Linked DNA regions of Nothobranchius furzeri. The protein of the gene in region 1 interacts with the protein of each later gene in a pairwise test. Links are inferred from orthologs where the notes say so. Each region holds a gene or a part of one and is shown in the gene's direction. Other genes may lie near its edges.

Region 1 (10,480 bases):
AAATTGGATCACTGACACCCTCCTATTCAAGCCATTTAATTCTCTCCACATGAAAAAGGATTTAAATCTTCTTTACAGAAACAGCAGATGTTCTGGTTCTGCTCAGGAGACTCAGAAATATCAAACAATGTCAGATTTGCGAGAAAAACGTTGAAACTTCTGTTTCAAAATGTGTGAAAGGTTTTGAGATTATGAATTACCAGTAGAACAGCTAGTGTCTCAGTTAGTCTCAGGCACACAGGTTGGGATTATGATTCAGGAACATGAGGAACACACAAGGAATGTGTTCCTGTGACTGTTTTTCATGAATCTCTGTCAGGCACAAGTTGTCGGCATCTTGCCATGTTCATCCCATTGAGTCCTTGCTGTTTCGCTGGCGGTCTCTCCACTCTGTGATGAGGCGATTGGCTAGAGTGTGTTTGGGAGGCAGCCAGAAGCTGGGAGGGTCACCTCTCCTTGGTGTGGTCTTCACCTGCAGGCCGCTGGAGATTTCCTCCACAGTGAACCAGCGGGCGTCCTCCAGCTCAGAGAGGTCAACATTCAGCTGGACAAGACACCACAACAGGTCATAAGTATTTGTTACATATAGCAGGTACCTGCAGTCCAGGTGTCCCTCAGCACTCAGTCCTGGGTTTTCTACCTTTCTAGACCCTGAAGAGTTTGTCCTATTTGACGTTTCTACTGAATAAAATCTACACATGCACATCCTGACTCCCCTGTCTCAGATGTACTCATGTAAACCTTGAACTGGAACTTGTATAAGTGGGTGCTACCTGAGTGTGGGCGGGGCTAACAGTAGCATGGCAGCCCAGCATGAAAGAGCTGTGTGGGAAAGGCCAGTGCTGTGAGGAGCTGTAGGAGATGCTCTGGAGCTCTACACCCACTTCCTCTGCCACCTCCCTACATAGAGCCTCCTCCAGGGTCTCCCCTGCAGAGATCAGCCACACGCACACACACACACACGCACGCGCGCACACACACACACATTATGGGTTCACCGTAGAGTGGATCTGTACTCCAGGTAAACAGGTGACACAGGTGAGACTGACCCATGTCACAGAAACCGGCCAAAGCACTGTACATCCCCCGAGGGAAGGATGACTGACGGCCCAACAAACACCGTTTCCCATCAGACACCAGGACGATCACCACTGGAGACATCTGCAGGAAAACAGTCACATGACCTATCAGAAGCACAGACCAGTCAGAAAAACATGGTTAGAATCTAGAGATAAAACGGTGAAATAACTAACAAGAATGCAGATTAAAGCCTGTCCTAAACTAAACAAGGATCAGAAATTAGATGAGGACCAGTCAGTAACCAACTTGAAAGCACTCAGAAACAAGTTTAAAACTTTTCAGCCTTTAGTCAGAAACCCGAGAAGTTTTGGACCTTTGGGTAGTAGATGATGGAGCTGCTGCTGCAAACTCTCTGACTACCAGCTTGGTTCCGTTGGGTCGGCTGACCCGTAGCACCACAGAACCTGTTAATCTGATGCCAGCGCAGCAGAGCCTGAGCCTGTGGGACAAGCAGATGTCAGAACATGAACACAGATCAGTGGACATGAGATGCTGTGGTTTTGAACAGTCATAAAGAACACAACACCAGAGTCCCATTGTAGAGCCGCACCTTGGCCACTAGAGGCGCCCCTGATCCATTCAGAAGGAAGAAAGCTTTCCTCAGGTCCATGAAGCAACCTTTAAATTCTTCTGCTACTGCTGCCTGATCCAGTTCTCCTAAAACGTATCACGCATGCACCAGAACCAGAACTCAGAGCCATTTCAAATTGATGCTCACCTATTACCAGGTTCTTACCAACATCCAGACAGAACTGAGCCTGGTTCTGATCTGAACAGCCAACCAGAATGGACTCTTTTAGTAGGGATTCGTCAGAACCAAGTTTCTGCAAGACAGACTGAACATCTGGAAGATAATCACAAGAGATGTTTGAAAGTGAAGGTTCTACTACTTCCTCTTCTGACTGAAGTCTTAGATCTTGATCTGTCCCTGACTTTCTGGATTCGCTAGTCTGTGGGTTCTGGTTCTTGGGCTGTGTACCTGAGTAGGTGAGAAAGACTGGAGATAAGTTTCCTCGGCCAGTCTGCTGCAGCAGTGGAACCAACCGATGAAACAGGAAAATGTGAGCGTTCTGCAGCGCTGCAACACACGCCTCATCACACTCCTTCAGACTGTTCAGGAATCTGAACAGAAACATCCATCCATGATCAGCAGATCAACCAAACAATTAATAAATAAGATGTCTAAGCCTCAGAACCTCATCCTGGACACGAAGCCTGAGTAGAAACGGGTCGGAACACAGCATCTGGCGGGAAAGAAAATCCTCAGAGGTCTTAACAGGGAAGCCATTCTGGACCGGACCTGCTGGATTAGGCCAGACTGATCTGAACTGGATTGGTGTGGTTCTGCTGCCTCAGCCTGCACACAGAGTCTGTTTTTATGTTTCTGCAAGATGTTCATTAATGAAGCTGATACTAACCTGTTTACCAGTCATAAGCAGCAGTTTTCCACTCAAACTAGTCTGATCAGGTCTGATTTAAATACACTTTTCTGAATAATTATTCTTGTGACCTCCAACAATTATTCTCACACTGCATCAGATTTATTTCACAGGCAGAAGTGTTAGATCGGTAGGATGCCCTGTTTAATAATCAGGGATTCTGTAAATCTGCTCGTTTCTGTTAGGTTACACTGAAACTATAGATTCGTGTCAGGCTAGTGGTTCTGAACACAAAAACCCGCTCAGAGTTCAGGCTGACCCGCTTTGTTATAGCAGTGTAACATCCACTTTGGTTCGGTTTAAGCGCGAGAATCTCAGACGTCTGCAGTAAATTTTCGACTTTTCACTGACCTCTGACCTTTTCTTCTTCTGCTGCTGCTGTTTGTTCCCTGAGCAGCGGTTTGGCACGGCTGCCCCCTGCTGCCAGACTGTTGTTACTGCAGCTGCAGTTCTTTGGAAGCAACAAAGTAAATAAAAATAACCTAGTGAACTACTAGACCTCTTGCGTTGCAAAGTTTAAATAACAGATTTATTTAGTCTGGCTTGCCAGGCTAGTGTAAAGCAGTAAATATGATTGATTTGAACTTTAGTCAAAATTTAGAAAATGAAAAATGAAAGTATTTGATTTCTTTGTAATTTGTCTGTCCTGGTATTAAAGTGATACTAAAATACTTTCTATAATAAAACAAAAATGCACCTCTGTTACTAATGTATGCTTAAATTAGTCATATTGTGTGTGCGTGCACGCACGCGCGCGCGCGCGTGTGTTTAAGTCACTTTAAAACAAGATACGTCTTCCCAGGAGGAAATATCCAAACAGGTTCATGTCAAATTGAGAAAAAAGATTAGCTTTATCACAGAATCCACTGGTTTTCTTCTTTTGTCGTTCTTGGGCTTGGGGCTTCCGCCACCAGCAGGTGGCGGTAATACAAAATATTCTGTGTCAGCCTCAGCCCGTGTCACTCACTCATCGAGAACAAGACTCCAGCTCCCAGCAAGCCTTGCGGTTTTCTATATGTGGAGCTGTATAGGTTCGTGGTACCATGTCTGTGTTTATGGACCTAAACGTGATGTATTCGTCTAATATAAAGCAATTGCAGAGTTTGGTGGAAACAGCTGCTCATCGTGAGTATTCTCGACCTTAAACCAGACCTTTTCTAGTGTTGTGTTTAGTTGGTCCGCCTCGTAACTCAGCTGGTTTTGGTTCGGCTGATGAGGCTCTGGTATCAGTTAAACACTGTCAGTAAATGACTTGATTTGTTAAGATATTAATCGATAATGCTTGTTTATAACATCACTAAGAACAACCCTTATCACTAGATTTTGTGGGAAAAGTTGAATCCGTTTATTAGAGAAATAATCGATCACAGCTTGTTTGCATCTAAAACCCACAAACCCGTAACATCGCCTTGGATTATGTACTTTTGATTAGGAACAATATTTCATAACAAAGCATTCTTTGTTGTCCATTTGACCCTTTGCACGTGCGTAACTGAACAATAACTGTTGAGGATAAAGCCTGAGACATAATCATTACGTCTGACAGGAAACAGAAAGATATCAGATGTTTACTTGATCTTCAGTAGTTTGGAGTATTTACATCAGTGACTGTGACAGGATCGTGATATCCACCTGATTCACACAAACAGAGCTCTTAAAGCACTCAATTTCCTAAACCCTACACAACCACAGATCCAGAATCAGAACCTGGATGATGCAAACCTCACTGAAGGGATTAACTGGGATTTTGTTTTCCCCTCCTACAGTTGGATATTCCACGGTCGCCATCAACTATGTGTTTGAGCTCGTAGCCAAGAAGAAACAGGTCAGACTACCTACTGCGCTGCATTGAGGAACAGCATGGAGTCAGATAGAAGCCTTTGATGTGGCTGCGTTTTGATACTTTATTACATTCTCATTCATTCTTATGAACAGAAACATCCAAATGGTAAAACATCAAAACGGGTTTTATAAAACTGATCTCCGAGCATTCACTTGATCTCTATGGTTAAGCAGATGCTGAATCAATCAGTTGATTGTCAATGAATTTACATTTTGTTTCAAACTTTTATTATTGGGAGTATGTTTATTTTGTCTTTGCAGGAAATTCCCTCACCAAAGCCGATCAATGAGATCTTTGATAAGCTGCCCATGGTGCAGGGCCGTTCTCGTCCAATCAGAGTGCTGAACAGACTGACGCTGGTGATGTCTGACGCCAGTCACTATGTGAGTTGTCTAATTAGAGCTAAGGGATCAATAATCTTGAAATGGATTGTATGATGTGATGCCACAGCCTGTTTTGTGTGTGTGTGTGTGTGTGTGTGTGTGTGTGTGTGTGTGTGTGTGTGTGTGCGTGCGTGCGTGTGCGTGCGTGTGTGTGCGTGCGTGCGTGCTCACAGCCGACCAACTCTCCAGCTTTTCGATTTTTCGACCTCATCGCCCTCCATTCAAGCTCTGAGAAAGTCTTCCATGTGAGCTTCACTGACACTCTGTTCATCTCTCCAACAGGATGATGCTTTCACTGACTACAGGAATGTTGATGGATGAAATATGTGACTTTAAAAAATCAACTTACTGGAAAAACGCACAACAAAACTAAACAAAAGACCATCTGAAACACAACTGGATATTTAACAAAAGAAAAGTTTAAAAAAGACAAAAAAATAATAAATTGACAACATTTAATTAGAAAACACAACAGGACCTAAACTGCAATTTCACTGAATGGAAAAGTTTTCAAGAAACACAACATTATAAAAAATAGAAACTAACTGTGGTTGTAATAGCAGTAGCTGTAATTTGTCCTGGAAAACACAGCTGTACAATAATTACACCTGTATGAAACAGACTGAGTGGAAAGCACTCTATTTTTACTGAAGTATGTGTATTATGTGTGTGTGTGTGTGTGTGTGTGTGTGTGTGTGTGTGTGTGTGTGTGTGTTATTCAGGCAGCTTGCACGTTGTACGATATCGACATCATCTGCATCCCAGTGACAGAGAAGCTACCCTTTTTCTTCAAGAGAGCGCCGATCAATGCGGTGACAACCAAGGCTTTTGTTTGTTTGTTTATTTGTGTGTGTGTGTGTTTTAATGAATGTGTGAACCTGTGTAAGTTCAGGCCATCGAGAGAGGCGTTGCATTTGAGGTATCCTATGCTGCAGCCATCAGAGACTCTACCATGAGGCGCTACACCATCGCCAACGCCGTGTGCCTGATGGAGAGCTGTAAAGGGAAGGTATGCATGTCCTTGCATCTGATTGGCTAGCTGCAGAGTAATTTACACTATGCTGTTATTTGACATAAGCTCTGTGACATCACGTTGCAGGTGAGATCTTGAGCTCTGTTTCTGTTTTTCAGAACGTGATCCTGTCGAGTGCAGCTGACAAGGTCAGTGATCAGCTACGTCTGTGGATCAAACATGAATTTAACTAAAGGTTCTGTTTCACCAAATCAGAACATTTCTAATAACTGAGTTTTAGCCCTTTTTGTCCACCGTACTTCTCTGACCTGATATTTGTGTTTTCAGTCTTGGGAGCTCAGAGGACCATATGACATCGCCAACCTGTATCCTTTAACCATTGTTCATTAATCTGACATAGGGCTCAGTGTTGCCGCAGTCTGTGAGATATCAGAACAGACCATCGTGTGTGTTTTCACAGAACTGTGTCTGGTGTGTAGTGTTGTACAACACATTTCATGTCTTGCGTTCCTGATCTGGTTCTCAGAGGTCTGCTGTTTGGTTTGTCCAACCGAGATGCTAAAGAATCTATCTCGTCCACCTGCAGATCTGTTTTACTGCGTGCGGGTAAATCCTGTTGAAGTTCTGCAGACTCGGGCTTCCTGTTGGTTCAGACTGTTTACCACACTGTTTGTTCATTTGTCAGAAACCAGGTCGACAGCCAGCGGCATTGTGCACACCTGGAAAACCCAGCAGGAGGCGCTGCAGGACTCTGCCGACAGTAAGTTTCCACTGCATTTATCTGAAGCTGAATCAGGCTGGAGGCGATGGTGATCTGTCCTTCAGAACTCCAACTGATGTTTTTTCATCATCTGGTTTCTCATCAGACTCAAACAAAGTAATGCTTGTTTCACCCAGGTCCCTCTCTGTGTTCATGTGTACAGGTGAAGCTCCTGCTGCCAAAAGGATGAAACCCTCTGACAGCTGAGGAGGCGGGGCCTTCCTAAAAGCAGCTGAATCAATTAACAGTTTAAATTAAAATGTCCCGTTTTGACTCTTCATAAATGGAAGAATGTGAATGTTTCTGAGAAAAATAGATCCTCTGTTTTCATGTAAAATTTTTATTTCCAACCTTTGTTGAGTAAAGGGTGTTACAACCCAATATTGGAATTAGGGGGACATTACTTTTTCGCCTAGAGGCAGGTCGTATTCCCGTTTTAATAAAAATTTGTGAAAATGTGTATGATTTATTATTTGCTTCAACGGTAACTGCTTTTTTACATTCTCATCTGTAAGTTGTTTTGGACTAAATCACATGATGCTGAAATTTACTTTGCTGAAACATTTTTGCTTTTTTTTTCTCCACAGTATATTTTCTGTTCCTGCAGCCTGATTTGTAATCTCAGTCTTAATCTGTAATTTGCCAGGCATCTTCTGCAGTAGCATCCACATCAGAACTCCAAAAACTTCCTTCAGTCCAACACAATGAGACTCAAACATACACCTGTCATCTGACTAACACAGACATCAGATCGCATCAGTAGTTTATTGTCAGAATGCAGCAAAGACAATTTCAACTGTTACAAATGTTGGATGTTTGTTCTGCAGCTTCACCTGATGGGTCGGATCTTCATGCTGATACTCTTCAGAGAGTAGGTAGTGCCCTTCCAGCTGTACCAGACCACACCGACCTCATATTTGGATCCATCAGCCCCCCACAAATAAACTCCATTAGGGTTTGGATAGTAGCATCTCCAGTACCAGAACGCACCCAAAAATTGTCTGGCACAGTTGTCTGGTCCGGCATGTTGGTATTTATCAAAAGTGGCAAACTTTTGTCCATCGTGACGACTCAGTGTGTCTCCTGCCAAGAAATAAATCATACAGCAAAAAAAAGATTAAATTAGCAGAATGTTTTGGTTGCAGAGAATCATGGACACCCAGTACCTGGTCTCTGACACACGGGACTCCACACAGCTTCTTAAATGACATGTTACATTAATATAGCTCATTGTGTATGCACACCTCTCACATTGCTAACCTGTACATAGTGATGCAATCATCTGATTGTCTCAATGGCAAGTTGCACTTTGCAAAGTTTGTTGTACTGTTGTACCTTCATTCACTACCTTGTATCCACTACCTGTCGCTACTAAAACTAGCTTCCAAGCGCTAACCCTAACCCATGCAACCGTTACAACAAAGATATATTTCCTTAAAGCCCAATCACCACTGAACAAGACAAAGTGAAACATCTAGACATGACCAAGGAGTATCTGAAGACAGCTTTTTCAAAGGTTTTGTGTGAGATGTGATGGACCAGATGGACGGAGAGGGTCCATATCTGCATCATGATGAGGGGTTAAGGGCCACCAAGATGCTCCACCTCCTGGCCAGCCTGTGGAGGCTCCTGAGACCCGGTCCCCTAAAGACAGTGCCAGCTTCTTTCACTACATTGTTTTTCTGTTACTCATGCTTTAGGAGATGACTGAATAACGACATGGTCCCCTTCTTCGCCTGACCTAACCCTTACTGAGAAGTTGTGGGCCCTTAAACAGACAACGCACCAGAGAGGGAAACTGTTCACCTCTCTGAACGGTGTGTTGCTGTTGTACAGAGAGAAGGTCAGCTCCAGAGACTAACAGGGAGTCTCACTGCTGCTACTGAAAAGAAGCGTGGCTGTGTTGGTCACTGATTTCATTACGTCATAAATGTTTATTTAGAAAATGTGTGTTGTCTGTTTACAGATGAGACTAAAGGGGTGATATAGCTGCCTGATAAATTTGCACACTGATAGATGCCTAATAATTGTGCACAAACATGTTTTCACCCGCTGATGTTCACAGTCACATTTCATGAACATAGCATTTCTCCTAATTTGAGACCCACCTGCTCCTCCGTCAACAAATCCAGACACATTCACTCCATACCCGTCTGATTCAGGGGTGATGGAGAAGGAGGAGTAACGAGCATACACCTTCCTCCCTTCAAAGTCCTCCATGTCGACCAGCAGCTCGTTCTTTTTCAGCTGGGTGAGGTGAAACAGACTCTCCAGGCCTGAAACAAGCAAAAATAACCAGAACTTTGAACCCACATCAGTTTGATATAACATCATGATTGTTGTTTAGATGTTCAGATCTCACCAAGCCAATACTCTCCGGCAGCATTCCCAAAGCCAACCTTGTAACGCTCCCAGTTCCTGTGGAAGTTGACAGAACCATCCATTCTCCTCTGGAACACCTGAGATAAGAGGATCTGAACTGAGACGTGTTGGTAGAGACCTTCAGCAGGGCGCTGGTCAGAAATGGTCCAATATTCTAGTAACTGCTAACCTACAGGGTATTTTCACTCACAGCCATCTCTAGGGCCAACGCAGAATGGTCCAGAAAAGAGATCATACACAAAGAGTGTGGATGAAAATGTCTTGTTAATGTCAGAGGTCTGATGAGAAGGAGCGATAAAAAAGCAACAAAGGCTCAAAACATCACCGTTTCCAACCAAGGCCTAGAGTATCATTTCTGAAGCAGCTCCTGGCTCCAGATGGGCCCACAGCAGCAGAAAACCACTGACCAAAACACATAATGTGTAAATAACTTTTATAACAGTTGTAGAATAAACAGTTTGCCACGGTTTAAAGGCACGAATCCACACAGCTCCTAAGATGAGAAGCAAAACTTGTTCAAGGAACCAAAAAGCCCCGTTGCCATCATTTAACTTATTGAGTTTAGCACAGTCTAGAGTTAAAGCTCGGCTATTCACATCCATTAAAACTCATCAGCTAATCTAATTGAAACAATAACATTTTACATGAGCTGACTGGCTGTAGGACCTCGATATGTCTATGGAAGCTGGAAGATCTGTGGAATAACACAAGTTCAGACTCACCGTCCATCGTCCCCCATGTGAGTCCATGTCACAAAACACCTGCAGACGCCGAAACAACAGGTTATGCATAAATGGTGCAAACCTTTTGACACATTAAACATTCATCAGTTCACCCATGTGAGAGTTTACCTGTACACCAGACACACCTCCCATAGGATAGATGGTGTAGACTCCACTGGGTCTGGTACGGTCCTCACTATAGAGGTAGTCGCAGTCCAGAGGTAAACAGCTGGTCAGCAGAGGGACCAGGAGGAGGAGAAGGACTGGCAGCAGCTGCAGGGGAAGTTTTCTTCTTATTTAAGTTCAAATTAGAATATGACCATCACCACAAACAGAATACGTACAGGATTCCTCATGAAACCCAGAAAATAATTCAAGAAAGAAAAATGCTGAAAAATTACGGTGAAGTTCTTAGTCATGAACTCACCCTCATCATTAGAGATCTGCTGATCTGAAACCCAAAGTCTTTATATCTCAGATTTCCTCTGAGTGGTCTGATGAATCTGAGCCTTCTCGGCTGCTTTTCTAACCTACAGATTAATAAATGATGGAGCAGCTGCTGCTTCACACCGATAAACCTTCTAACGGTGGAAATGTGTGTCCTTGGAGATCCGGGACCACGTGACGACTGGCTGGAATTTGTAATAAAAACACCTGCTAACATTAACCTGATAAGGTAATTGTGATCCATCTACGGAGCTTATTTGTCCTCCTTCCAGGCTTGAGTCAATAAAAGGATCAATAAAAATGCACCAATAAAACAGAAAAATAAAAAAGCACACGTTTAAAGTTACATGAGCAAATGTGAGCTTTAATAATCAAATTCTGTTGTACTTTGAAAATTGATTCACACCATTTTTCCTTTTTAAGTCTATTGATTGACTGATGTTTTGTACAC
Region 2 (10,543 bases), on another chromosome or scaffold:
ATGGGCCCTACAGGCATGCTGGGATCTGAGGAGGCTGACAGCCGATTGAACCTGGCTCAACAAACTGTCTGCGGAGGCACAATGCACTGATGCTTTAATCTTAAAACATACTCTAAACAATGCCAACCATGTTTCTGCTGGGAGCAAAACAGTTGGCCTGAATCACTATTGTGTTCACAATCAGCCAGTTAGCGACAAACATGATTCTACACAGCAGAGAGGCTTTTCACTGATTCATGACGCTTTCTGCACTGACAGGATGTAAACCGTGTGCTTGTGGAGACGATCTCATGGCTGGCAGATGCTCTTTTCTTTCAACCACAAGTAATCAGACTCATTTGTGTACCTGCTCCTGCATTTGTTTTCCTGTGGGTGAACGAAATCAGCCTCCAGCATCTTTCATTTCCTATCAGGACCAGCTTTTTTATGTTTACACCAGAATCCTTTCAGTTTCACCCTATTTATGAGGCTCTTGTGAGAATTCTTAGTTTGTTTTCTAACACAGTCGTTCAGAAATGAGTCGATCACCACCCGAGCTTCAATTCCAACAATAGCTCAACTTCATTTATTATTTATAGAGTTAGATCGCTCATGTCTGAAAGCAACCTGGTTACATTTAAGATGTCAATACACTTCTGTTTTCTTTGTGATTGTATTACCCAGTGAGTGGATGGATGTGTCCAACCTGTGTGGAATAACTCTGGGTAATTGGAATAAGGCTCTAATCAAAATTTCAATTAGAATGCTGCTGGAGTTATCTCAGCTGTTAAACTCGAATTAATGTATTACTCTTTCTTTGGCTTCCAGTGTGGGAAACATTCTCAGTTTGGATGGATTATTGAAACCCACACAAAACTGGGCAGAGTTGAGTTTGTATTTTTCCTGCTTTTTGCATAAAATCCATAACAAAATAAACTATTCTCCATCTCATCTGTTTAATTACATTCACAAGCCATTAGCTGCTGCTTGCTTCCTTAGTTTAATTAATGAAGTTCGCCATTCTCGGGGGGCTGAATGATTCCATCACTGTAATGGAGCAGCGCCACCGCTAGAGGGCAGCAGAGCCTGGTTAGTCTTCTGAGTAAAAATACACAAAGAGCGAGAGAGCACAGAGCTAGAAAGTATAGACCAGCTTTTCAGCGACGAATCCCTATCAACATATTTTGTGGCTCTCGTTCTTTAATTCCATAAGGTGTGATTTTCTTGCACATCCTAATTATTTATTTGTTTGTGTTTAACTGCGTGATGTGACCCTTTATTTGCTTACTCAGGCGGAACCACGACCCAACAGCTTCGCTATCTGTTAGAGCTCTATCGCGTTGTTGTTGTATTGTTTTGATTGGGAAATAAATGAGCAGGAACAGCCACGGGTCGCGATAAACAAGGTCAGTATCTGCATTTAATGCGTTAAAATACATAAGTGAGTGTTTCTTTCTGTATTAAAGCTGCACCTTTATGTCTGCACCTTCAAGACTAGACCTGGTGGAGCTAACGCTAATGCTAGCTGGTCTGGCTAGGAGCACTACTAGCTTAACGGTTTTACGTTTACTTTACGAGATTATAGCTTCAGTTGAATATAATTTAATGTGTTTGATATTTGATTAAAGTGAAACAAACAAGGAAATAGCCCATTTTGACAATTTGTTGCGTTAGTTAGCCGTAGCGTTAAGTGCTACATGACGCTAACTGTTAGCAGTCCTTGTATTTGTTTCTATTTGTGTTTAAATGACAACAGTGTTTAGTAGCATTACTGCCCACTTTACATACCTAAGTGTGATTCCGATCACATCGGTCACTAACATTAATGCAAGCCTTAATTTAATAAATTTGTTACAGGCGAAACAATAAACAAAAAATGTTTAAATATCTCATTTTTCCCATAATAGTTCGTTTTGTCTGTACTGTGCTTTTTAACAACGTTAAAATGATAGGATTTTGTTTAAAGTGTGTACATCGGATCTATTTTTTAAATGATTGTGTTATTTTTATTCAACTTTTTGAGGAAAATGTGATTTTAAAATGTTACCTGGGTTTTTCAGAGTTAAATTGTGAGGAAAGTTTTCTGGTTTTTCACTGATGCCGCAGATGCTCTTATATCATTATGGTTATCTACACAAAGTATTATTGCCTACAAACACCCCGTGTTGTATGCAGAACCACATTAGCACACATTTGCATCTTAAATTGCAGTGCATCCTCGTAAACGACACTTGTACTCACAAGAGTCTTTCCTGGTTAAATAAAACAACTTTATCGGGTTTCCTCAGATCTCAGGGCTGGAAGATGTGTTCTTGTGGCCAGCTCAACTAGAAGTGTGCATTTGGAGTATTTGACTCTTCACTGTGTCTAAATGGGAACTGGAGCTTTTTTAGTCCAGATTCGACATCGTTGTGAGCTCAGCTCCATCAGGAGGCGCTGCTGCATAGTTTTAGGGGACGTCTGGAAACCTTCAGGGGTGCATGTCAAGCACCACTGATGGTATTGGTGAAAGAGCTGAATTCTCAGTAGGCAGTGTGTGAGTTTAACAGAAGAGGTCAAAGGCTAGAACACGGTTTTACCTGAGGTGGTCCTGCGTGTAGCGGCTGAGCTAAAGGAGAGTTCAGTGCTGGTAGCTGGTTAGCTCTCTCAGTTGTTTGTCTTTACATCCACATAGTTTCTAGTTGAGAGGAGAACCGTGACATCATTCCTGCTGATAACAAAAGTAAACGACTCAGTGACATTTCTGTTGGGAGCAGTTTGGATGAGGAGCAAATCCTATTTCTGGTGTCAGGTCCTTCAGGTGTCACAAAGGGCTGCTCCATTATGGCAAAAATGATGATCACCATTGTTTTGACTGAAATTTAGATCTCGATTGATACGATTTTTAAATCAATATCAATTTATTTGTTCTTTCATAAAACAGCACAGGGCCCAACCAGAGGAAAAAATAAATAAGAAAAAAACAAGATCCTCAAAAAGACCTCCGAGCATAAAAGAGCCAGTACACTTGCTCATAGTTTATGACCCACAGGGTTTAGGCTGGGGTTTAACTCATGGAAGCGTACTAATACAGACCCAACCTGGTAAAAATATCTGACAAATACTGACCGCAAGAGTTGGACAGTGTATTTATATAAATAAAGATCAATAAAAACAACTAAGTACAGCAGCTACGAGTCCCTCGGAGAGATGCATTATTATCTATCAGCATCAGCAACTTATTTCTATCTGTTTAAGACCTATTTATTTACAGCATCAGTTAATGTAATTACCAGTCTTTGTCAGACGACGCGTCGGGTGCTGTAGCGTGTTGCATGATGGGATGGCTGGGTGTATAAAGTGTTATAAACCTGCAGGTCACACGTTTACAAAGAGCAAAAACTTGGTAATGACATGAGATGTAGCGTCTGTGCTGTTATTTACCCTGTTACTGGTTTGACTTTCCATGGCAGGTGTGGCTGTTTGATGCAGGTCTCCCTTTGGACCATGTTTAAATGGTTCAGAATGCAAATTCTGCCTCTTTGGATAGTTGTCATTAAACCTTGTACTGAAGAACTTTTACACAAACAACAGGGAGCCTTAGCCACGCCCTACCAGACCACGGGTCCCCAGAGGAACAAAACAAATGCAAAAATGCCTCTTGTTCTGTTCCATGGATTTCACATATGATTTATGATGAAGACACATCTTGATACCAAGAACGTGCTTATTCTCAAACGGGGGGAACGTTATTTTAGCTTTTGTGTGAAAATAAGTCCAGGACTACAAATGCGCTTCACCACAGTGACGTCATTGAACCAGACACGGGGAAAATGGGGAGAATGGCTGTAAGTTCAGAAAACTTCGAATCTTTTCCTCAGGAGGAAAGAACCGCCATAAGTCTGGTCATGTGGTACGTAGCAGCCGGTAGCGTCACATATGCGACGTGCCGATGTAGTCATGCTAGTTACGAACTTTTACAAGCTAATCAATCTCAAAGTACGTGACTGGCGTGGTCGAAACCGCCATCATTAGTTTTCATTTAGACTGCAGTACAGCATGTGTGTGATCCAGGGCGTACGGCAAAGCAGGTTAGAAAATAACCATTTTAGCTCCGTTGACTTGCGTTCTTTTTTTTTTTTGTTGTTGTTGTTCTTCCGGAGACCCGTGAGCCGACCGGAGAGGGCGGAGACTTGGGCTCCTCTTTTACACTCATGGAGTTAACAGCTCTGATGTTGATCAGCTTTGCTAGTTTCTCTGTAGCTTGGGGCAGATATCGAGGCTCATCAGCTCAGCGACGTTTTTCCAATCTTCTGTGTCCAGTTGTGGTGAGCCTGCTGTCGCCTCAGTTTCCTGTTGTTAGCTGACAGGGTCAGGGTGTCGTGGCCCATCTGTGTTCACAGATGGTCGTCTGCATACCCAGTGGGCTCAGTGCTGTTAATGGTGGCCATCTTAGTTTTAGTCTCAGCCTTGATGACAGAAAAGCATTTAGGCTTCGTCGGTTTTGGTCGACTCATCTTCAGAAATGTTTTGGTCAACACAATTGTTGTTGTTATTGTTACAAAGAAATCAAACAGAATGATTTCATATGTGAGACGTGTTCTCTGAGCTGCTGGAGTCCGTTTCATTCCATCATTTATTTTAGGGCTTTGGGACACATGAGAGAGGAGCTTGTTTTGTTTTTGTATCAGCGCTAGTGTCCCACCAGTCTGTCAGTAATCAGATTACCAGTACCACTGGTCTGCTGGGGTTGGATACAAACCCTCGCTTACTCTCTGTCCTGTCAGATCTCCATTTCCAGAAGTGATGGAGGAGCAGACGGGCTCTCCCGCAGCCACTGCTGACAACGGCAGCCAGAGGAATGGAGAGGAGGTCAGAGGTCGACATTTCCAGTTCAAACTCCAACAAAGCTTCGTCAGCTGCACCGAGGACCTTCCAGTCACACCTCCTGTTGTTTCTCTGCAGAAACCTCGGCGTGGCAGCTGGACCAAAGGGAGGAAGAGGAAGAAGCCCATGAAGGACAGCAACGCACCCAAAGCTCCGCTGACGGGCTACGTCCGCTTTATGAATGACAGACGAGAGCAGCTGAGGGCGGAGCGTCCAGACGTGCCCTTTCCCGAGATTACGAGGATGCTGGGAAACGAGTGGAGCAAGCTGCCCCCAGAGGAGAAGCAGGTCAGACTCAGACAGGATTACACAGCCAGCTCCAGTCTGTGAACCTTAAACCTTCCACGGGCCTCCAGAGCTCTTCGGGTTTCACGCCGGTAGGTGAAACAGCTGAGGAGGGTTAGGTTAGGTTAGCGCCACAGTCACTCTGAAGTCCCTTCTGTTAAAACATCTGGATTCACTAGTAAGCACCCCTTGTAAGTGGGCCACAGCTTCACACACACACACACACACACACACACACACAGCAGCTGAGGGTGAGGTCCTCGTGTCTGATTCAGGCTGGAGCTTCTGACTCTGGTTGACCTTGTTCTAGTCTGATGGAGCTGGGCTCTGGTGGGTCTTCAGATCATTAGAGCTCTTAGAGCTCTCCCTGACGACTGCAGCTGAGCTTCCTCCACCCTCTGCTGCAGCGATACTTGGACGAAGCAGAGCGAGACAAGGAGCGCTACATGCGAGAGCTGGAGAAGTACCAGAAGACGGAGGCCTACAAACATTTCACCAGGAAGGTCCAGGAGAAGCAGAAGGGCAAGAGGCACCGGGGGGGTGAGAACAGGCCAAGTGTTCTGGTGGCGTGTGATGGAGGTAAAAACTCACTTCAGACACACACATCATTAGCTGTTTTCTCCTTCCTCTCCAGATTCTGGACACCAAGCTTCCAGTGAGGCTCTTCATGAGGTCAGTACGGTCTCACAACACCCGGTTCCACTGAGGACCAAATAAATCTAATCCACATAATCTAGACAAGAGCACGTTTGTTTTGGAGTCACTGGTGGAGTGTGTGGTGTAATCATTTACACTGGAGAACAGGTCTGATGGGCCCTCAGAAGGGGCAAATCAGTTAATCAGTTTCTGTTTTTTATTGTTATGTTTTTATGACTTTGTTTTATTTTGTTTACATACGGGCTATATAAATAAAATGTACTCAGTTACTACTTACATAAACGAGTGTCTCAGTCCGGCTGCAGCAACCATTTTCACTCAGCAGACCTGTTTTTGTCTGCTGGTTAATGACAGAGCAATGCCGAGGGAAAAGACCGGACCGTGTTTGACATCCCGATCTTCACAGAGGAGTTTCTCAACCACAGCAAAGGTGAAACATCTCAGCCTCTGGTTCTCCACCGCTGTTTACTGGCTGATGTCCCCAAACCTGTTTGTGTGTTTTCCTGCTCAGCTCGAGAAGCTGAGATGCGTCAGCTGCGTAAGACCAACATGGAGTATGAGGAGCGTAACGCAGCGCTGCAGAAGCACGTGGAGAGCATGCGCGGGGCGGTGGAGCGGCTGGAGGGGGACGTGATGCAGGAGAGGGAACGCAACGGGCTCCTCCATCAGCACCTGGAGACGCTGCGCCAAGCGCTCACTTCCAGCTTCTCCTCTGTGCCTCTGCCAGGTGAGAATGGCCACAGCCAGCGCTACCCTTCTGCTTCACGACCGCTAACCGAGCATTTCCACCGGACGCGTAAGCGCTGCGTAACATGGTGCGTAGTGGATGGGTTTGCTTCCACTGGCCACGAAGCGTCCCAGAAGCGTAGGGGTGTGGCGTCTAGTTTTTTACACGCTACGCTCCCAGACAGCGTCAAGCTCAACAGTTCACATCTGGCCAGACAGAAAGTGAAAAGCTATGTAAAACATCCTGACACTTTCAAAATAAGTCATGTTCAGATTTCCAGTTGTTTAACTAGTAAAAAGGTATTTAGTTTCCTGTGAAACCTCCGTAGCCGAGTAAACGGAAGAGAAAATAAACCATAGAGCTTTGTACATACATGCATCCGTCTTTCTTTTTGCTTGTTATCGTGTGAACTGCTATAATCACATGTGGTCCTGCAATTCTTCTATGATTTCCTGACCTTACAGGACCAGCTGGGTGGAATTTTTTGGCTGCTGTTTCCATCTGAAACGCTTCCCATAGAAAGGGAGCTAGAGGGCAGAACATGTCATTATGCACCGCCTATGCATCCAGTGGAAAGTCACTGTAACGGGGTTAATGCATCACACTCGTTAGATCACTCCAGTACGGCTGTGTGACAGTTAGAGGGGAACTCTGAACATCCTGGCCCACAGTGACCTCTTGACTTGGAGTTTGGGAACTGACTATTTCTGGTGTTTGTAGGCAGCGGAGAGACGCCCACACTTGACACCATTGATTCTTACATGAAAAAGCTCCACAGCGTTGTTGTCAGCAGCCCGCAGGAGCACGAGCATCTCATCAGCACCGTGAGAGACGTGGTCAACCGCCTGGACAGGTAGGCGCTCCGTAGAGCCTCACATCTGCTTACTGCTAACCCAGTTTAAACCAGTTCTGATGTCTTTGTGTCTTCTTGTTGTTGGACCAGATAATCAAATGAAGGTCTGACGACGACTCCTCCCATCATGCCTCTCAGCTGAACACCATGAGCTCATTGTGACGACGCGTCTCACTTACCGTTATGTTATGAAACCTGTTTACGCCTGGGTGACATGCCTGTAGACATGTGAAGATGCGTTCTACTCGTTAATTCCTGTTTGGGTCCAACACAACAAGGAGTGTTCTGTTTCTCATAAACAACTTGTGCCATTGTTTGTTTTTTAGTTTGAAACATGTTTGTATTTTTAATAAATGTCTTTTCATTGAGTTCAAAACACCTCATTAGTCCCCGTACTTCCTTCCAATGTTACTGAATCTAGTCCTAGCTGGTTCCAAGTGGTCCTAGTTGATTCCAACTAGTCCTAGCTGGTTATAACTGGTACTAGCTCTAACTGTTCTTTGCTGGTTATAACTGTTCCTAGCTGGTTATAACTGTTCCTAGCTGATTCCAGCTGGTTCTAAATGGTTATAACTGGTCCTAACTGATTATAACCATTGTAATACCAATGCCCTATACACTGGCACTGGTTACTGAGGCGGTTGGTAGTCTTTACGTGCATTTAAAAGAATTGCAGCTTGTGTTTATTTCTGATGATGTTTATTAATTTGTCTTCTTCCAGAAAGTCCAGGATCCATTCACTGCAGTTAAAGTGGTTTTCAATGAATACGTTACTTGCCCCAACGACAGTCCGCAGAGTCCATTACACACAGCCACAGTCCTCGCCACACAGTAAAAAACTGCTTGTCCCGTCACAGCCACCTCGAGTCTAATCTGCATTGGCTTCAGTAGGCTGGTCCTTCCACAATCAATTTACCAATCAAATGAGGCCAAGCCTCCTCTCAGGTATGCAGAAAGAAAATGAAACCAACACATATGACTCCTACACCTGTTCCTAGCTGTTATAACCGGTCCTAGCTGATTATGACTATTCCTAGCTGGTTATAATTGGTCCTAGCTGGTTGTAACTCGCTGGTTATAGCTGGTACTAGCTAGTTCTAACAGGTTCCAAATGGTTATAACTGTTCCCAGCTGGTTATAACTATTCCTAGCTGGTTATAATTGGTCCTAGCTGGTTGTAAGTTGTCCTAGCTGGTTATAACTGTTCCAGTTGGTTATAAGAGGTCCTAGCTTTTTCCAGCTGGCCCTAGCTGGTTATAACTGTTACTTTCTGGTTCTAATAGGTTCCAAATGGTTATAACTGGTCCTAGTTGGTTATCATTGTTCCTAGCTGGTCATAACTAGTAGTAGCTGGTTCTAACAGGTTCCAAATGGTTTTAACTGGTCCTAGCTGGTTGTAACTGTTTCTAGCTGGTTCCAAGTGGTCCTAGTTGATTCCAACTGGTCCTAGCTGGTTCTAACTAGTTCCAATTAGTCCTAGCTGGTTATAACTGGTACTAGCTGGTTATAACTTGTTCCAACTAGTCCTAGCTGGTTCCACTGGTCCTAGCTGGTTCTAACTTGTTCCAGCTAGTCTTAGCTGGTTATAACTGGTTCCAATTGGTCCTAGTTGGTTCCAACTGATCCTAGCTGGTTGTAACTGTTCCTAGCTGGTTATAACTGGTACTAACTGGTTATAACTGGTCCTAGCTGTTTATAACTTCGTAGTTGATTATAACTTGTTCCAAATAGTTCTAGCTGATTATAACTGGTACTAGCTGGTCATAACAGGTTCCAAATGGTTATAACTGGTCTTATTAATCAATCAATCACGTTTTTATAGCGTTTTTCGACACCATAAAAGGTGACCAAAGGCCTTTACATAATAAAATAAAACCGTAGTGTATAAAAATAGAGATTACAATAAAAAGTTTTGCTCTGCTTGTCGGTCTTGCCACACAGGGTCACCATTTGCCCAATCATTATTGTGTTATGCCAAGCACAGTGCTCTATCGGTTTGGTGGGCGGGATGATGCAATGGAGTAGACGGAGCAGAACAACTAAGATGGCAACGCCTCAAAGCTCTGAACAAACTTTAAACCTCACCTGATGTCAAATCAGTGACTGTGTTGAGTCTGAAATCCAGTAGAACCCAGAATATGTTGTTTCCTACTTCAGAACTGGACCTTCTGAAACCAGATGTGGAGAAACCAGGTCTGATGAGCAGGAAACCTGAAAGGTATCATCTTCTCCTGATTAGAGCTGCAGCTTGCACAGGACCAGGAGCTCATATGTTCATCCCTGGAGTAGTGGCAGTAAAACTTTTTCATGTGCTGAAGACTCCCATCTTATTAATGTTGTTTACTTTTAAACTGGGGTCTCATCCTTCACATGCACTCTCCTGGTCTCTGAGCTAATTTGTATAATGAGCTTAACTGGAGCCTGATCTCTTTGATGTGGACTCAAAACTGAAAGTGATGAGGAGGAACAGGTTCAACATCTCTGCACTTTTCTCAATCCTTTCATTCTCTGTTTCATATCCATCTTTTAACAGAACCGGGAGTTTTATTCCTGCAAACACCTCCATGTCTGATGCTCTGCAGCCTCGAAGTGGGGGTGCTATGAGCTGGTTCCAGCAGTTCCTAGACCCAGAGAAGGGATGGGGGTGGGGGGTCTGGACGGTTCCTGATCACTGCTGAGTTTGACCCAGTTGGGTTTTTGTTCTGCTATGGGAGTCCTCCGTCTTTAGTAGAGATACAACAGACTTTAAAGAGCAAGTCACCCCCAAATCAACTTATTTTATCTGATAAATTATATAAAGGAGTGTCTAGACACGTGTAGTCAATAATTTGGCTCTTTAGTGCATCTTAGTTAAAATTTAAATATTCTGCCTAGAATTGTGTAGCGCCGAACAGTTTACTCGCAAACTTCAAAGCGATCCTTTTCAAACTGGCAGAGTCTTGGCTGCGGCATGGCTTCCTCGCTGTGCTCTTCGCTGGACTCACGAGATCACAAGGCCCCTCGAGACTTCGGGTCATGGTTTGTTCAACCGAACAACCAAAAAGAAAGAAATCACGTTATCACTGATGTCATATATGATATTGTTCCTCTCCACTGCCAGGATTAAAGCCATGAAAATCACACCGCTGCACTTCCGACCGGTGCTGTGAGTAAATAAGCCCTTGGGTCACACGTAA
Region 3 (10,633 bases), on another chromosome or scaffold:
ATTTGAAGTAGGACAGATGAATCTTTGCATTGGCCGGGAATCGAACCCGGGTGAACTGCTTGGAAGGCAGCTATGCTCACCACTATACCACCAATGCCACGTAATTCAATGTAAAATCGTTATGATCGGAAAGATGAAATGACTGGTCTTTCTTGGGGTTTGAAGTTTTACATTTTCATTGTGCACTAAACTAATTTGACTTGCACCATCAGTGACTGCTGACAAAGAGTCAGATCAGAAACCGTTGTCTGTGTTCAATTTGATCTACATTAAGATGAAACTTAATCCACAGGAAGGCAACAAAATGTAATCAAAGAAAGACCTTTTGATTTTCAACATGACAGAGATGTCCACCCAAAAACCTATAGCAGTTCCAGTGCTAAAATAGTCTCCAACGCTGTACATTCCGTCAAATTCCATGACTGTTGACAGTTTGAGGCCATAGTATAGCTTTAGTTCACTATAGCTTTTGTTCACAACACAAAAATTTTTTTCCAGAATTTGGTTCTTAAAGTCTATGTGTTGCAATAAATATTTGCTCTTAGGCGTGCTTGACTGCTTGCTGAATTTAAGACAATTGAGCCTAATTGTAGACGTTCCGGAAGGTCATTTTACACACGATGGGACTCTACGCACATTTTTGTGGCAAAAGAAATCCAAAATCAGGACGTAAGTTGGACAATGCAAGTTCATGGAATGACTGATTCTATACAACTGTGCAAGTGTTCACTTGATGGATAAAGAGGAAGAGTGTCTCCCAGATGGTCTAGTGGCTAGGATCCGACGCTTTCACCGTCGTGGCCCGGGTTCGATTCCCGGTCAGGGAAGAGTTTCATTTCTATACTCATTATCTAATGTCAAATATCATTGTTAATGACATAATTGAGGAAATGGCTGCTTTAAGATAAATAATTAAAAACAGGTATATTTACACAATCAGTATGTTTGGTGATGTTTAGAATGGATTAGGAAATACTCTGCAGTCTGCTTAATTTGAAGTACGACAGATGAATCTTTGCATTGGCCGGTAATCGAACCTGGGTCAACTGCTTGGAAGGCAGCTATGCTCACCACTATACCACCAATGCCACGTAATTCAATGTAAAATCGTTATGATCGGAAAGATGAAATGACCGGTCTTGCTTGGGGTTTGAAGTTTTACATTTTTATTGTGCACTAAACTAATTTGACTTGCACCATCAGTGACTGCTGACAAAGAGTCAGATCAGAAACCGTTGTCTGTGTTCAATTTGATCTACAGTAAGATGAAACTTAATCCACAGGAAGGCAACAAAATGTAATCAAAGAAAGACCTTTTGATTTTCAACATGGCAGAGATGTCCACCCAAAAACCTATAGCAGTTCCAGTGCTAAAATAGTCTCCAACGCTGTACATTCCGTCAAATTCCATGACTGTTGACAGTCTGAGGCCATAGTATAGCTTTAGTTCACTATAGCTTTTGTTCACAACACAAAAAATTTTTTCCAGAATTTGGTTCTTAAAGTCTATGTGTTGCAATAAATATTTGCTCTTAGGCGTGCTTGACTGCTTGCTGAATTTAAGACAATTGAGCCTAATTGTAGACGTTCCGGAAGGTCATTTTACACACCGATGGGACTCTACGCACATTTTTGTGGCAAAAGAAATCCAAAATCAGGACGTCAGTTGGACAATGCAAGTTCATGGAATGACTGATTCTATACAACTGTGCAAGCATTCACTTGGTGGATAAAGAGGAATAGTGTCTCCCTGATGGTCTAGTGGCTAGGTTTCGACGCCCTCACCGTCGTGGCCCGCATTCGATTCCTGGTCAGGGAAGAGTCTCATTTCTGTACTCTGTATCTATTGTCAAAAATCATTGTTGATGACTTAATTGAGGAAATGGCTGCTTTAAGATAAATAATTAAAAATAGGTACATTTACACTATCATTAGGCTAGGTGATCTTAAAAATGGATTAGTAAAGACATTTGAACCTAATTGTATAAGTTCCGGAAGGACATTTACACACCGATGGGATTCTAGGCAAATTTTTATGGCAGCAGAAATCCAAAATCAGGACGTCAGTTGGACAATGCAACTTCATGGAATGAATTACTATATACACATGTGACACAAGCATTAACTAGGTGGATAAAGCAGAAGATGCTCTCCCTGATCGTCTAGTGGCTAGGATCTGATGTTTCATTTCCATATTACGCAACTACTGTAAAAAATCATTTCTGATAACATGTAATGGAGGAAATGGCTTATTTAAGATAAATAATTACAAATTGGTACATTTAAACTATCATTAGTTTAGGTAATCTTAAAAACGGTTTAGCAAAAACTCCACCAACTGCTTGATTTGAAGTACAACAGCAGTTAGCAGTTCCAGAGCTAAAATTGTCTCCAATGCTGTACATCAGGGAGACACTGCTTCACATTATCAAATTTAGTTTTCAATGGTGTTTTACGGTCTCTTTTCTCTGTTCTTGGTGAAGTTTGATCCTCTGATGTGATGTTTTTTTTTTTTTTCGTTTTCCTGCCACTTTTTCAATAAAGGCAAATCTCTTTCGAGACGTGCTACCATGTTTGCACATGTTCTACAAATACGCTCTGATTTTTTTCATTCTTGGTTTAAATTTAATCCCTAACACGCACATCTGTCGGAAACTGTCCTGTCTTGTAGTTTTCGGTCAAATATTAAAACAGAATTGTTTATAACTTCGTGGATTCTTAGATTTTTACTACAAAGACGACAACTACGATTTACATATACGCCAGACGCCATCTTACTACAGGTGAAAAACTACAGCGTCGCGCGATATAGCTGTCATTTCCAACTTTTTTCTGATTGGTTATTTTTGAGCTGGCCAGTCCCGCCTCTCATGGTGCTCTTTGCCGAGAGTTAGCAGACTCAGTCTCTGTGCAGAATTAAACAGAGAGAGTCTGGCTTGCCAGGCTAACAGGCTGGTGCTAAAGAAGCCCAATAATAAGATTCTAACACAGACAAGGTGCTTGTGGTTTTTCATAGCCAAACCCTTTTGAACAGTTGAAATTATTGAATTAAAGCTTTGATCAATTATTCTGAGACATCTGAGAAATAAGTCACAACATTAAGTTTAAATCTAACTTTTGTCAGAGATCAAAGTCAGTGATTTTTGTTTTCTCTCCCCTAAATATCTACTGTATGAGATTGGTTGTCATTTTTGCAAAAACCACCATTTTGTTTTTGTTTAATTTTTTTAATTAAGAAGAAACAGAATAATTATCAAAAAAGTTTGGATTTATTTTTCAATGGGATGTTGATATTAGTGGAAAGTTATGTGAAAAAAAAATAAATTGACCTAAAAGTTATTTACTGGTACTTTTAGTTTCATTCTTTTGTGGAAATTCAGACATTGCTACAAATTGGCTTTGATTTCAGGTTTCCAATTATTAAAGGGCAGTTCCATCCAATTTTTCCACTGATTGAGCATCTTTAATCTGCTCACATTTTCAAACTACAACACCTGGACCAGTGGTTCCCAAGCTGTGGTTCGTGATCCACCAATGGGGTCCCCACCAAATTTGTGGGAATTCAGCACATACAAGTGCCTCGTGATTTTTATCTTGAAAGGCACTGTACAAAAGATCAGCTATTCTTCTTCTTCTACAACATGTTTGTACTGAGATTGTAAGGTTAACACACAACCAAGGGATGCTCAAGGACAGAAGACTGGGAACCACTAAACCTGGACCAAATTCTGCTACAGTGTGAGCAGAATCTGTTAAACATATATATTGTGATGTTTCAAACTGTAATTTGATTAGTGAAAACAGTCTTTTTGTTTTCTTTCTTTAATGTGAGAATTATTTATTTAAAATGTAGAAAATGTTGAAATTTATCTTGCCTGACCGGGCACATCTCTGGGTGCTCAGCACCCCTAAACCTCTGATGCGAGAATCGCCTCTGCTGATAGTCATCTTTTTGGACTGTGGGAGGAAGCCAGATCACCTGCGGGGAACCCATAAATGCACAGTGAGTACATGAAAACTCCATGCACAATTCGAACCTGGGACCTTCTTGCTGCAAGGCAACAGTGCTAACCACTGCATCGCTGTATAGCCCAAGAACTGAAATGGATTTAAATATTTTTTAGATATCATGTACAAATACCTAATTTATACTGTTTTATCTTCTTTAATATTTAATTTTTTAATTATTGTTTTGTAGATTGGATGTGCTAATGTGAGTTTACTCATTTGAGTACATCAGTATTGTTTTTTATTAAGTTATGTTTGAAATGATATCAAGAACAGCATTCGTTCTGTTCTATTGACGCAGACGTAAACAGGGAAGCTTTAAGCTTGGTTTATGCTTGAGGAATGCCAGTTCACACTCCAGATCGGTAGAGGGCGATAATGTACTTCACGTTGTAAACCTTTAAAAAAAAAAGTTGTGCTGCGCATGCGCTTTACATGAACCCTCTCTTCACATCCTGGGTGAGTTCAATTCGTTTTTGTTGGTGTTTGGCCTAACAGGTAATTCTACTTGCTTTAGTTCTGTTTTTTTCCGAACAAACGTTGACTTTAATTTGCTGTAAGTTCTTCCAGCGAGGCGATTTGTCCTTTCTGATTAAAACGGGTTAGCTTAAACAGCATGAAACATAATTAGCTTCCGTTAGCGTGTAAAGGTCCGGCATTACTCCTTTGGAATAGTAGGATGTTCTAGGAAGGTCCCGTCATTCTCGCCTCTGATTGGCAGGAAGAGCTCTCTCTCATACGATTGGCTATTTCATGTAACAATAAACCGTGTTCTCTCGTTGCAGGGTGTTCAATCTCTCCAGCCAGATTTTGAGGAGTTTAGTGAAGAAATTGTTAACTTCGTGCTATATTAACCATCATGTCCTGTTTTGCAACAAACCTGTTTGTTTCTTTTATAAAAGAACCTGAAAAACATCAAATGTGTAAATTTTGTTGCATTTAACACACTGTTAGATGACTTTATCTGTTGGCTCTTAAACACTGGGGTTATATATATTACTATATATAGGCCAGGGATATTCATTGTCGGGCCTGGAGGGCTGGTATCCTGCACGTTTCAGTTTTAACTTCAATCAGCAGGTAATTATCAGGCTTCTGCAGGGCCTGATGAGCTGCTGCGCAAGTGAATCAGCCACTGAATCAAGTGTGTTGAATCTAAAAACGTGCTGGATACTAGCCCAGCAGGCCCGGGATCTCCCTCCTTAAGGCTATCTTATGTCTTCACTTTCATAGGTTAGTGTTTGCAAGTTAGAACTAGAACACACATATCATCTGTTTAAATGTGCATTATTTAATAGAAATTAAATTCAAAGCTGATTAAGGTTTAGACCTATTTTTCATACGTATTCATTATTCTAGAATAGAAATAGTCAACACAAAGCTGTGAAAAACAGGGAGGTTTTATTATATTTAATTGCCAGGTTAAGGCACACATGTTTATCCTATTTACTCTGCTTTAAGAAGAAGCTTTAGAGCCAACAGATATAAAGTAATTGCTGGGTTTCTGCGTCACTAAATTAGGGCTGCCACAAACGATTACTTTAGTAGTCAGCTAGTTGCCAGTGACGATTAGTCGACTAATCGTGTCATTCATAAAAGTTTAGCTTATTGCACCAGGATGCTCTAATGCTGGGGTGTCAAACTCAGTTTTGCTCAGGGGCCACATTGAGGAAAATCTAGTCCCAAGTGGGCCAGACCAGTGTTTTTTTTTTTTTTTTTTTTTTGTTTTAATACGATCAACATAAAACAAAGCTGGAGCCTGAGGACAGTGTATCCAAAATAGTTAAAGCACAACATCACCATTAATAATAAAACACCTGAAGTGTATTTGAAAATGTGAAATGCAAAACAAAAAACCCAAAGAGGGCAAGCTCAGTGATTCAAATAACTGATTCACAGATCACATGGCTATATCAGTGTCATACATGTCTTTGACTCCTGATACCTGACATCTTTTAACTTTCACCAGTAGTTTAATTGAAAAATGAAAGCTTATTTTCAGACTTTACATTGTTAAGTCTGAAAATAAGGTTTACGCAATCATCTCGCGGGCCGGATTTAAACTGTGTGCGGGCCTGATCCGGCCCGCGGGCCGCATGTTTGACACCCCTGCTTAATATATCCATCATTAGCTTCTAGATTGCTGATGCTGATGCTTGCAAGGCCTCGTAAGACATCGCCTCGCAAGGCCAGGTGCCTTGACATTGAGAAACACAGAGAGTCTTTACAGCAATCCTCATACTTTGGACATTTGTCATTAACTTTGTTGTTGTTCTGATCATAACAGGTAATTACAGATTTGTGTGTTTTGGTCCACAGTCAGCTGATCTCTGAGGTTCTGTTAGAATGACATCAGTCAGAGAGAAGATTGGATCTTCTGGGTTCCACCGAACGGTGCTGAAGAACGGCTCGCCTTACTGCTATATGAAAGTCTGCCTGTTAGTCTCTGGTTTTTAGTAGTTTTCCTGTCTTTGGTGCATATCTTTGATCTTGTTGGTGACTTGGTGCATTACTACTTAAGGGTTTTACAGGATCAGGAAACCAGACTGAATGCAGTTGAACTGAAGAGTTTAATCATCACTGGTCTGAAGGATCTACATGGAGAGGTGAGCTAAACACATCTATTGTTATCAGAGCTGTGACTAAAGGCTGCATTCAGTTACTGAAATGCTTCTACACCAATGTGCTTCAGGTGGGAGCAGCGCTGCCCTTTGATGTGTTGAAGTTTGATGAAGGGTCTCTCACTGCTGTGCTGCGTGTTTGTAGTGGGTGAGCCCAATGCTGCTGCTTCAAACGTCTGACTAAATACACTTGATGGGGTCTGATTGTTTTGATATTTCTTTCAGAGGTCTGGTGAAGTTGTGGAGCTCCCTAACTCTGCAGGGTTATTACCAGAGCCAGGCCTGTGCCTTCAGAGTCCTGCAGGTCAGCAGATTTAACCTTTAGCTCAGTTATTTCTTAGATTTTAATTTGAATTCACCTGTGTGATGTGACCGAGGGTAAAGCCTGGTTTATACTTCCGTCAGCTCGAGTGTGGAGTCGCACTCAAGCATTGACAGAGGTGTTTCCCCTTCAGACTTCTCCATCACCTGGGGAGCGTTGCAAAGCAATTCCTCTACCTGTACAACAGAGAGCATAGCACCTTTCACCATTACAGTCATGTATCTGGTCCTAGATGGTGTGTTTACATGCTTTGATTTATGTCAGAGACTATTTAACATTGACAAATTTGACCCATATTCTGCTCCACCTCTTCACACTTGACTTCCAAATTACCCGTCATTTCTGTCCATCAATAAAATGCTTGCTAGTAGGGCTGCAACGCATCCTCGAGTAACTCGAATGATTCGAGGACAAAAAATATTCGAGGATTTTCCGCTGCCTCGAGGACTCGTTAAATAGACCATAGCTGAAAAAAACTGCGTTTTGCACGGATTCTTTGTGTTGCAACACCTGGTTACGTCACAGATTATACGTGCCATGCACTCTACTGCACAGCGCGCAGGCGCAGCAGTCTTTTAGTCTTTTCAGCTGGACAGCCGACTATGGCAGACGCCACGGAAATAAATGAAAACAAGCAAGACCAAAACGAGGGATATAGGAAGCGACCGAAGTTATCCAAAGTGTGGGAGCACTTTACGTTAAAAAGCAAGGAAAACGTCGTCGTATGCAAGCATTGCAAGGTGGAGCTAGCATACCACAACAGCACTTCTTCCATGCTGCAGCACCTCTTAAGAAAGCATCCGACTGAGGGCATGAGTGGACGTGCCGAGACCAGGTAAATAAGCTTTTATTTCAGGACGTACATGTTGACTCAAATGTAGTGTCAATAAAATACATTTATTTGTTATGAGTTAGTTTTAAAGTGCTGCTTTAAAATACATCTGTTAAAATGTATATTTTAAAAATTGGTTTACAATTTAAAAAAAACTTTGTTTGAATGATAGTTTGTTAAAATTATCCCCAAATTCCAGTTAATTTTCATGAATTCCCCTATTTCTTGTGCACAGTTTCTAATTTTAAATATTTCCAAAATTCCCCAGCATAGCCTTGCATGGAAATGTACCAAATCCTAATTGCAATTTAGGAATGTTTTACTTCACTTTATTTATTTTTTGCCTTTTTTTCAGTAAAACATCACAACCTGTCCTGGATAGATTTCTGCTGAAAGCACCTGCCTGCACCCCAGCACAAGCAGCTGTACTGACAGACCGCATTCTAAATATGCTGGTTACAGACATGCGCCCACTGAGCATGGTGGAGGATGCTGGCTTCAAAGCGATGATTGCTGCTTTCCAGCCAAATTATGCTCTTCCATCTCGGACCTTTTTCACAAAGCGGTTGAAAGAAAAATATGAAGACATCAAAAACAAGATGAAGAAAGCCCTGCAAGAGACTGACACCATAGCACTTACTACTGATATCTGGACAAGTGTGGCAACAGAGGCCTACATGGGGGTAACGTGCCACTACCTAGAAAACTGGAAAATTATGTCTCATTGTCTTACCACTATGCCCTTGGAGGAGAGGCACACAGCTGCAAACATTGCAGATTGGATTGAGGAGGTAATTGCCAAATTCAGCATTCCACCAGAGAAAATCAAGGCTGTTGTACATGACAATGGTGCTAATGTTGTAGCTGCAACAAAGATTTTGCATGCAAAGCATGGATGGGAGCACTGAAATGTGCAGGACACACCCTCAACTTGGTTGTGCAAAACACTTTAAAAAGCCAACAGGCTATCTCCAGGTGTGTGGGTGCAGCAAGAACTCTTGTCGAACATTTTAAGAAAAGTGAATTGGCAAGCACAAAGTTAAAGGTCAAGCAGAGGCACATGGGGACCAAAGAAAACATGCTGTTGCAGGATGTCTGCACACACTGGAACAGCACCTATGCCATGTTGTCAAGGCTGCAAGAACAAAGATGGCCAGTGACTGCTACATTGTCTGACCCAGAAGTGACCCAAAGAGGGAAACATTACCTGGATCTCAAATCTGACCAGTGGAGCCTGATTGAGGAGCTCAACCAGGTCCTTGAGCCCTTCCACTCTGCCACAGTTTTTATGAGTGGAGAGCAATATGTTACGCTTTCTGCACTTCCACATGTTGTTGACAAAATTAAGAAGTCACTCCAGAGTCAGAATCTCGAGTCACCACCTGTGGTGTCATTCCAGACTCATGCAAAAGAACAGGTCACAACAAGATGGAAAGACTTGGGTGAGTTCAAACCAGAGTCTCCAAACATCACACTGCTTGCTGCTTCTCTGGATCCCAGGTTTCGAAAACTCAAATTCTTGCCTGCTGACCAAGCATTTGGAGTCAAAAACGCATTGCAAACCATGGCACTTGCTGTCAAGCAGCAACTGGGGCCTACTGGATGTGGAAATGAAGCATCCAGCACAGCAGAGGGTGCTCCATCTACAGCGCATAAAGACAAGATGACCACATCCTTCCTTGACTCGGACTCCACCAGCAGTGATGAAGAGCAAGATGAAGAACAGCTGTCAAATGAAGCTATACAGAATGAGGTAAACATAAATAATGCTTTGTTTTTTTGCCCCTTTTATTTTGGTAACAATTTCCTATAAGGCAGTTCAAATGTTCTACTAGAACAGAAAATGAATATTTTATAATGTTGAATAAGCCAAAGACATTTTTAGATTTTGTTTGTTTGTGCTTTTTCCCCCAACTGTCACAGGTCTTGGCATATTTCGGAGAACAGTCCCTTCCAAAGAAGGATGGTCCTCTGATCTGGTGGAAAGCGAATGAATAACGCTTTCCAACATTGGCGAAGCTGGCAAACTCCCTGCTCTGTATTCCAGCTACATCCACCCCATCCGAGTGGTTGTTTTCAGCAGCAGGTAATATTGTGTCAAAGAAGAGGGCAAGCCTCAGCCCTGAGCATGTAGATAGGCTCACCTTCCTTCACTGCAACCACAGGCTCCTTGGATAGATTGTACTTCCACTCCCCAGGCAGTCTCTTGAGGACAGTTTAAAATCCTTGTTTACAGTAGTAGGACTTGTGGGCCAAGTTACTGTCTTATGTTAGTTCTGAATATAAAGTTGCACAATTGAAGGGCAGTGTTAACGGCACAATTTATTGCACATTCTTTTTGATACTAAGAGTGATAACTGCTTTTTTGTTATTCAAATAATATTTTTATTTTTTTATGTAACTGTCTCAGGGAATGTTAAGTTTAAAGTAATATTATTTATATTTGTGTTTTCATCTCAAATGTTAAGGTGGAAGTAATTTTAGTTCTCTGATTTTTCTAAAGAAACAATTACTATTTTCCATTATACAAACACATTAATAAAATGTCATTTATACATAAGGTTTAAATTTGTTGTTCTCATTATTAAGTCTGTCTTTTTTATATTGTATATTTATAATTGAACCTTAATTTAGCAAAAGTATGTTTTATTCGATTATTCGATTAATCGATCCGGATATTGATAGAATACTCGATTACTAAAATATTCCATAGCTGCAGCCCTACCTGCTAGGTATCTTTGTGCTCCTTCAGTCACAAGTAAATAAATGTTAATATTTTCAGACTTTTTCTGCAAGGAATCTGTTCCATGTCTGTCGCTAAGTATCTTTTTGACAGGACAATGGCGGTGC

Evidence for each region.
Region 2: the proteins of rpp30 (region 1) and hmg20a interact in binary tests that used the Homo sapiens proteins (3 or more experiments, as listed by UniProt). The two-hybrid records come from large-scale screens. The link is inferred for Nothobranchius furzeri from reciprocal best matches to the Homo sapiens genes RPP30 and HMG20A.
Region 3: the proteins of rpp30 (region 1) and rpp14 interact in binary tests that used the Homo sapiens proteins (3 or more experiments, as listed by UniProt). The link is inferred for Nothobranchius furzeri from reciprocal best matches to the Homo sapiens genes RPP30 and RPP14.

Annotation. Positions count from the first base shown.
Region 1 is NC_091756.1:51,150,845-51,161,324, forward strand, and holds rpp30 (ribonuclease P protein subunit p30), read left to right. Parts: upstream 1-3,488; 5' UTR 3,489-3,562; coding exon 3,563-3,644; intron 3,645-4,285; coding exon 4,286-4,344; intron 4,345-4,622; coding exon 4,623-4,745; intron 4,746-4,918; coding exon 4,919-4,990; intron 4,991-5,467; coding exon 5,468-5,557; intron 5,558-5,637; coding exon 5,638-5,754; intron 5,755-5,876; coding exon 5,877-5,906; intron 5,907-6,045; coding exon 6,046-6,083; intron 6,084-6,244; coding exon 6,245-6,324; intron 6,325-6,403; coding exon 6,404-6,478; intron 6,479-6,641; coding exon 6,642-6,685; 3' UTR 6,686-6,938; downstream 6,939-10,480. Other genes in the region: nudt13 (NAD(P)H pyrophosphatase NUDT13, mitochondrial), read right to left, coding at 347-544, 774-928, 1,050-1,161, 1,394-1,519, 1,631-1,737, 1,817-1,924, 2,060-2,202, 2,277-2,479; microfibril-associated glycoprotein 4, read right to left, coding at 7,308-7,561, 8,587-8,754, 8,841-8,937, 9,583-9,621, 9,712-9,855, 10,010-10,273. UniProt on the Homo sapiens protein: Component of ribonuclease P, a ribonucleoprotein complex that generates mature tRNA molecules by cleaving their 5'-ends. Also a component of the MRP ribonuclease complex, which cleaves pre-rRNA sequences.
Region 2 is NC_091754.1:44,442,765-44,453,307, forward strand, and holds hmg20a (high mobility group protein 20A), read left to right. Parts: upstream 1-1,071; 5' UTR 1,072-1,192; intron 1,193-1,271; 5' UTR 1,272-1,385; intron 1,386-4,745; 5' UTR 4,746-4,764; coding exon 4,765-4,830; coding exon of another isoform or gene 4,831-4,837; intron 4,838-4,923; coding exon 4,924-5,133; intron 5,134-5,537; coding exon 5,538-5,670; intron 5,671-5,764; coding exon 5,765-5,802; intron 5,803-6,141; coding exon 6,142-6,217; intron 6,218-6,298; coding exon 6,299-6,514; intron 6,515-7,234; coding exon 7,235-7,367; coding exon of another isoform or gene 7,368-7,371; intron 7,372-7,457; coding exon 7,458-7,461; 3' UTR 7,462-7,745; downstream 7,746-10,543. UniProt on the Homo sapiens protein: Plays a role in neuronal differentiation as chromatin-associated protein. Acts as inhibitor of HMG20B. Overcomes the repressive effects of the neuronal silencer REST and induces the activation of neuronal-specific genes.
Region 3 is NC_091743.1:78,985,266-78,995,898, reverse strand, and holds the start of rpp14 (ribonuclease P protein subunit p14), read left to right. Parts: upstream 1-4,381; 5' UTR 4,382-4,467; exon of another isoform or gene 4,468-4,506; intron 4,507-6,327; 5' UTR 6,328-6,354; coding exon 6,355-6,446; intron 6,447-6,529; coding exon 6,530-6,614; intron 6,615-6,700; coding exon 6,701-6,777; intron 6,778-6,854; coding exon 6,855-6,933; intron 6,934-8,497; exon of another isoform or gene 8,498-8,678; coding exon of another isoform or gene 8,679-9,536; intron 9,537-9,706; coding exon of another isoform or gene 9,707-9,781; exon of another isoform or gene 9,782-9,996; intron 9,997-10,633. Other genes in the region: E3 SUMO-protein ligase ZBED1, read left to right, coding at 8,679-9,536, 9,707-9,781. UniProt on the Homo sapiens protein: Component of ribonuclease P, a ribonucleoprotein complex that generates mature tRNA molecules by cleaving their 5'-ends.